Neurospora crassa OR74A: one gene and its partner. The protein of the gene in region 2 binds, or shares a complex with, the protein of the main gene of each other region. Links are inferred from orthologs where the notes say so. Each region holds a gene or a part of one and is shown on either strand. Other genes may lie near its edges. The genes, in order: NCU00464 and NCU00979.

Region 1 (3,442 bases), on a different chromosome or scaffold from region 2:
TTTTCTTCGACGTCCTGTCTACTCCAGGGATACCTCGACCCTCAATTGGGACCTTTTTATGTCACTTGTGATGGGCCTAGACTTGCGTACTTAACTTTAAGCGTGAAGTTCCGTTCAGGGTACCGCTACCGCTTTTGGTGACGGAAGGCGAGAGATTATCACGGGTGTGTTGTGTGACCTTTGTGCACCGGCCTTCGGATGACCTAGTTATAGTATGCCGAAAGTCTTCTGTTGCGATATTTGGTCAATGCTATGCCTTGCTCCTGGGGTTCTTTTGAGTTTGTGACTGGAATTGAATCTGGGGCATCCCTTATTTGGGAAGCGAGAGCCAAGTGTCTTGAAAGAAGGATGGATATGGTCGCTGGGACTTCTCACTGATCTTCCATCAACCCCGGCATCAGCTTCGACTGACCATGCTAATGAAGCCAAGTCAGCTCTGAGAAGCGGGCAACGAGCCTATTTTCGGACATCAGTTCACATAATACCATTCACAATGACACAACTCCTTGCAATCTGCCTGACGTCAAATTGGTCTGGTATCATTTCATATCTTCTGTCCGTGCAGTGCTGTCCCATATCTCAGAGACAACAATACGATGAGAGGCCAACGTCTTGGCCTTCCTCATCACAACGCCGTTCCCGTCCGTTGTCTGTATGTGTATGTCCAGTGGTAGTAGATGCTTGGTCTTCGTAGTGTGTGCCTTGACAAGCAAGCCGCGTTTGTATTTTCACTAGCCTGGATTGGTTGCTAGCAGAAAACCCGCTGACCAAAGAAAGCAGAACCCATTTCCCGTTGAGACCGCCTTGAGATGCTCCCAGAATCACACATGACGAAAAAAGTGCCCCCTTATGACGATGAAGACAGGAAGATTTAGACCTCGGTGGTAACCTTCGCCTTGGCGTTGGTGACCTTGACGGAGAGCTGCTTAGCGCGAGCGATGATCTCGATGCGCTTGCGGGAAGAGACGTTGTGGGCGATCCTATAGTCAAGCATATTAGCGACAGTCCATTGCATCGCCCTTGCTCGTTGCCTCCATTGTCCATTGAATATCGCGAAAGCGACTCCACAATCCCGAATCCGACTAATGTCCCTAGGAAATGAATGGATATCGATGTAACGTACTCAGCAGCGTAGGTCTTGTTGTGCATGAGGAGGAGCTCGACATCCTTGACGTTGCTGACGAGGAAAGCCTTGTGGCCGGAGGGCATCATGTGGCGGGTCTTCTTGTTGGAGCCATAGCCGATCTAGAAGCGCGAAACAAGTCGCGTTTGGTTAGCCGTTTGACCGATTTGAACTTCCCAATCGTTTTCCCAACGATCACCCGCGGAGCGTCTCTGTCCAGGGGCTTGAGACAATCCAATCCTGCGGCTCCCGTCCAGATTCGCTCCGTCTTCTTCCACCACCGGATTATGGCCAAACGTACCGAGGGCATAGCAAGAGTGCCCCTGAAGCGACGGCGGACGCGGTTATCGATACCCTTGGGCTTGCGCCATGCCGAGTCCACACGCATAAAGCGATCACTCTGGTGGCGCATGAAGCCCTTAGAGCCTGTTCACCAATATTTCGTCAACATTCTAGTTCCACTGGTATTCGCATCGCTCTTTCGTCGATTGGTGTCGGGAAACGGCGGTGATGGAGTTGTCGGCCCTCGAGCTCGAGCTAGCAAGGGGATTTCCATTTTTCGTGTCGGCTGGAGTCGCGGAATTGAGGAAAAACGTACGCTTCTTGACGATAGGGACGTGCTTCTTGGCGGCAACCATCTTGAATATGCTGTTAGAATTGCTTCGTTACTGAGAATACGATTGAACGAGGGTGCCTACCTTGACTGTCTGTTATCGAGTGATGGGGGACTGTTTCGGCGGGCAGCGTCACGGCGGGACCTGGGGAAAAAAATCGAGAAAGTGTAGCTGGTGGGCTTAGGGCTGTGCGAAATTGTTAAGGCGAGGCTTAGTACGCAGTTGTGATTCGCCAGAATTTTACTGGTGTGGGTCACCATCTGGGTGGCAGTTGTAAATCTTGGCAGTCAAGCCGCACCTGGAGATAGCGCCCAGCCGTCCCAGACCATCTCACGAGCTGCCTCTTTCTTTGCACACAGTGCACCTTGCCGGCCACAATCCTATTACCAACTACCTCTATGGACTGCACTTTCGATCCGGAGTCTTTATGGCATACATAAACCATTTTACTGAATTAATACGGAATGTGTTGCGTTGCTGTCATTCTTCGACATTCGTGACCCGGGAACTCTGTCTTGATGAGAGTTCAACCTCCTAGAGGTAAAACCAAAGGCATTGGATTATATGGATCCACTCGGGGGATACGCATCATACATTCACAGTTCAGCAACCATAATGGGAACGTTTGACACAACACGCAAATACATTCACCCCGATTTACTATCAACCAAACTTTATCCATTCGCTATCATATCGCCGGGTATTGAGTATACACACAAGTCTATGTGTCAAGTCTAAAAGATAGGGCTGATTCTGCCTGCTTGATGGGCAATACTGCTCGACGTCTAAAAGCATGCTTGCCTCACTAATGGTCGCTCAAGATATGTAGAAACGGCCATTGCTGCATGTTGACCAAAAACCTCCAAACCTGCCACGTCCTATGATGGTGTGAGCAAATGGCCTGCCGGATAGGAACTTGTAGTTCGCTTATCCAACCAGGCTAGGCCGTGCTCCCAAGCATACTACTGGACCGCCGCCCTGCAACAAAGCTATATGGACCGCAAAAGGTTTGAAGAAAACGGCCACTCTGGTCGTGCGTTTCTCGGTGTGGCAGCTGGGCGACTGTCAAGTCCTGGACTGTCCCACTCGTTCCCAGCCACCCACGCCGAGTTCGATACTTGGCGCGTTGTGCTCGTTGAGGGACGATGGCGACAAGGACTTTGCCAATGCTCTAGGTATATAGCACTCCCTCCAGAGTGTGTGTTTCCTTACTGGGTAGCGCACTGAGGACCAGCACCCTCGTCTTCGTCATCATCCTCCCAGTCATTGCCGTAGCGCGGGTCACCCTGGTGAGCGCCCATCTAGGTTTCAAATGTTAGCCACAGCTTCTCTCCTTATATATTTGAAAGATCATCATACCTCTTGGATATCGGCACCGGATTCGTATTCAACGTCATCGATCTCCTCGGCCTCGATTGGCTTGGGTGGAGGAGGTAGGAGCTTCGCCAAAGCGTCATACTGGCTGTCGTCCTGCAACCAACCATCTTCAGGGAACTCGATCTTCACAACGAGGTACAGGTCGCCCTTCATATCACTTTTCTTGACGGGCATACCCTCACCGGGGACTTTGAGGACGTCGCCGGGACGGAGAACCTTGCCACGAGGGTGATTGATGTGGATGCCTCTGCCGTCAAGGTGCTTAACGACGACACGCGAGAAACCGCTCAGAGCCTCGATAAGGGCAACGTTGAGGTCGGCTGAGAGG
Region 2 (3,275 bases):
ATGTCGTTCATGTGTTTTGTTTACCGCCCCTGTTGTTTTGGTTGCGGTTGCAAATGCGCTGGCTCGGCGTTGGGTGGACCTAACTTTTCGTCCTGTTTGCGAGCTTGGAACCTTGCCCGTCTTTCGCAGCCACGGACGATCCTGCTCTTGTTTTGCGCCTGGTTTGCCGCCTTTTCAGATGTAGTCCAAAATTGAAGAAAATAATACCTAATAAGCACAGGGCTGCGTGGGCGATTGCGAATCTACGTGCCAGAGTAGCGCATGGAACCAAGAATAACGAGAGTAGCGAGAAATCATATGGTGCGGCGCGGATGAAGCATGTCGTGAACGGAAGCTAGAGGAGACGATGGGGGGTTTCACTCTGTATTGGGGCCCTGGGTGCGTGCTGACTGTTGGCTTTCGCTAGGAGCGAGTATTTTGACTTGTGGAGCTGCGACCAATCAAAACACGGGGTGATGTTGCATGGTTGCTCGCGGCAACCGCTGAAATGGATCCTTTCTCTGGGAAACGCAAACTCCAGTGATGAGCTTGCCAAGCTTTGTTTACAGCAACAACAACAAAAACAACAGGGAAGCCCGACTTGAAGGAACCACATGCAACCGTGCGTATCGATAAATGAATGGAGACGACAATGGAGCTGCATGTCAAGTGAATATCAAGGGATTTGTTTACCAACGTTCTCGCAGGGCGCCGTCGATGGGACGCCATATCAGTGCGATAACAGGAACGGAAAAGAAGAAGAGCTCACAAACATGCATGTTCAAGCAACATATTCTCAGCAATTTTAGCTGCAGGCGCAGATGTCCAGAACAGCGCAGCACGCACATGTATGATCACGAAGGGACAAAAAGGTCCGAAGAAAACCTTGCGACTTGTATTGTTCCGCCTATGTGCCGTTTGACGCCCTTATGAAAGACGTGCCCTTGTAATCCCAAGAACTCCAGCTCTGCTGCCGCCGTCAAGGCGAATGTGATGCAGGTGACTTTTGAACCGCGTGTACAATCCGTCAAGGTTTCTCGGAAAATACCATGCCATGTTACCGGACAATGGTAGGAGACGCTTAGTCGAAGAGACCGAAGCCCATATCCTCGTCGGACTCCTCCTTCTCTGTACCCAGCAGTTAGCAGCTGAATGCGACAGCGCAAGCGATTGAATGTGTCCTTACCCTCAACCTTCTCCTCCTTCTTCTCCTCAGCAGCGCCACCAGCGGCGGCAGCGGCACCACCGGCAGCGGGGGCAGCAGCACCGCCGGAGGGGACGGAAGCGAGCTTGGAGGAACCCTCAGCGATCAACTGTAATATCTCGTGTTAGCCATGTGCGCCGGACACTCAAGTCTGCTCTCCGGACAATAGTCGTACCTCGTTGAGGTCCTTGCCCTCGAGCTCAGAAATGAGCTTGTCAAGGCGCTCGGAGTCGGCCTCAATGCCAACGGACTCAAGGACGGCCTTGACATCAGCGGCAGAGGGGGCGGTGTTGCCACCGAGGGTGAGGAGGAGGTAAGCGGCCAAGTGCTTCATTTTGTCTGTCTTGAAGGTCGCGTTGTTAGACGGAAATCCTACGGTTGTGGAAGGCTGGACCAAAAACTTACTGAGCTGGAGAACCAGAGATGTCAATCAGGTTTAACCGCTGAGTTGTGGCGGAGAAAGACTCTTCTTAGGTTCTTGGGGGTGGAAGTTCACTGTTTCGGAAAGAAGTTCGCGGACGGGACCCGATCACGGATTATTTTTACAATTTCGTTCCTGTGAAGCCCCGCAATTTTGCGCCCCACGAAAGCCCACAAGCCTCAAATCACCTGACCAATCCACTCGACTTAGGGCAGATCCCGTGCGTTCTTTCCCGCCAAGCTCCCTTCCGTCGTTGCCTGCCGGCCGCTTGCAATTACATAAAAAGCTGGCCAATTCATAACGCCTTGGGCGCTCTTGGCAATAAACACAACTTTTCGGTGACGTGCGGCTTGGCACGCTGCTGGTCTGGACCGTCTGGGCCTGTGACTTTGACCTCGGAGACCGCGATTCACCGCTCCGACCAGAAGTGACTGGGTGGGTCGTTCACTACGCTGACCATCCTGGCTCCCGTCTCTGTCTCTGCCCAGCAAAAGTTGCGAAACCAAGTCCCCGATCACGCAGGATTCTTTGTTCTTCTTTCGCCAACAACCCATCTCCAACCTAATTCCTATTCTTGGTTTCGGCACTATCGGGCGACTGGCGACCTCGCATACTCGCGCCCATTCTTTCGCCGTGTTTTTTGCCAAAGCATTCGCGCTTGTCCCACTGTGCATCTGCATCGTCAGTTGAGGCGATCTGTGACGGAAGCATATAAAACCCTGCCACCTACTTCCTTCTCCTCTTGTTCGATGCCTGGACAACTCTCCGTCTTTTGAACGCAGGAGAAGGATAAGCAAAGCTGGTAAAAGAAGGTTATTCACCGATACAACCACAGCCATGCCGGTAAGTTGCCATTCGTTTAGTGCGCTTGCCCTTTAAAAGGCTGGCTGACACGTGTGCAGATTTCGGATTTGCTCGCATCGATAACGGGCGAAAAGCCATCGTCATCATCGATCTCGACGAAAGATGTCCCAACAGCATCTAAACGGAAGGCCGACGATGACCTTCGAGGTTCTGCGCCAAAGGCCCCGCGTACCGAACCAGCGACAAATGGAAGTGCCCGGCCGAATGGAAACGTATCGAAACCTTCTACAGCGCGCCCCGCCGACCGACCGACGGAGCGCCCCACAGGAAATGCGAACCCAACGCGTCCCGCAGAAAAAACAACTGGCTACACCGGCACCGCGCAACCACGTTCGACCACGAAACTAACAGCTCCGGTGTCAACCAAGACCACATCGACGCAGTCAAAGGTGGGAGGAACAAGCTCGAATGGGAATAAGGCTCCACTTTCGCGACCGCTCGTCAGCCGACCCGCCCCTAGCGCTCCTGTCGCCGGCTCTGGACCTCCGAAGAAACGCTCCTATGCAGAGATCATGGCAAGGGCCCAGGCCAATCAGCCCATGCTGTCATCCGTTGGAAAGATTCAGCACAAGAAGGTGGAGAAGCAGTTGACGCTGAAGGAACGCAAGGAATTAAAGGCCGAGGAAGCGAAAAAGGGCAAGAAGGATGTAAGGCCACCGACTACCGGGAGGAGCGGTGTGACAGCTGGGCCAACCCGCAATGGTACCAACGGCACGACTGCGAACCGTCAGCGGAGTATCACCCCCTCAGCCCCGGCTGGCGCCAAGTCCAAGACAGGCCAAAATGCCGTGGAGGAGAAGAAGGTAA

Evidence for each region.
Region 1: NCU00979 (region 2) and NCU00464 share a complex: the UniProt entries of both Saccharomyces cerevisiae proteins name them as parts of the large ribosomal subunit. The link is inferred for Neurospora crassa OR74A from reciprocal best matches to the Saccharomyces cerevisiae genes RPP2B and RPL32.

The regions. Positions count from the first base shown.
Region 1 is NC_026503.1:3,956,712-3,960,153, forward strand, and holds NCU00464 (60S ribosomal protein L32), read right to left. Parts: upstream 1,874-3,442; 5' UTR 1,822-1,873; intron 1,762-1,821; coding exon 1,722-1,761; intron 1,550-1,721; coding exon 1,425-1,549; intron 1,246-1,424; coding exon 1,124-1,245; intron 981-1,123; coding exon 872-980; 3' UTR 516-871; downstream 1-515. Other genes in the region: NCU00465 (chaperone dnaJ), read right to left, coding at 2,946-3,038, 3,097-3,442. UniProt on the Saccharomyces cerevisiae protein: Component of the ribosome, a large ribonucleoprotein complex responsible for the synthesis of proteins in the cell.
Region 2 is NC_026501.1:6,512,010-6,515,284, reverse strand, and holds NCU00979 (60S acidic ribosomal protein P2), read right to left. Parts: upstream 1,742-3,275; 5' UTR 1,589-1,741; intron 1,527-1,588; 5' UTR 1,518-1,526; coding exon 1,359-1,517; intron 1,293-1,358; coding exon 1,166-1,292; intron 1,108-1,165; coding exon 1,061-1,107; 3' UTR 638-1,060; downstream 1-637. Other genes in the region: NCU00978 (checkpoint protein kinase), read right to left, coding at 1-11; NCU00980 (hypothetical protein), read left to right, coding at 2,442-2,447, 2,507-3,275. UniProt on the Saccharomyces cerevisiae protein: Component of the ribosome, a large ribonucleoprotein complex responsible for the synthesis of proteins in the cell.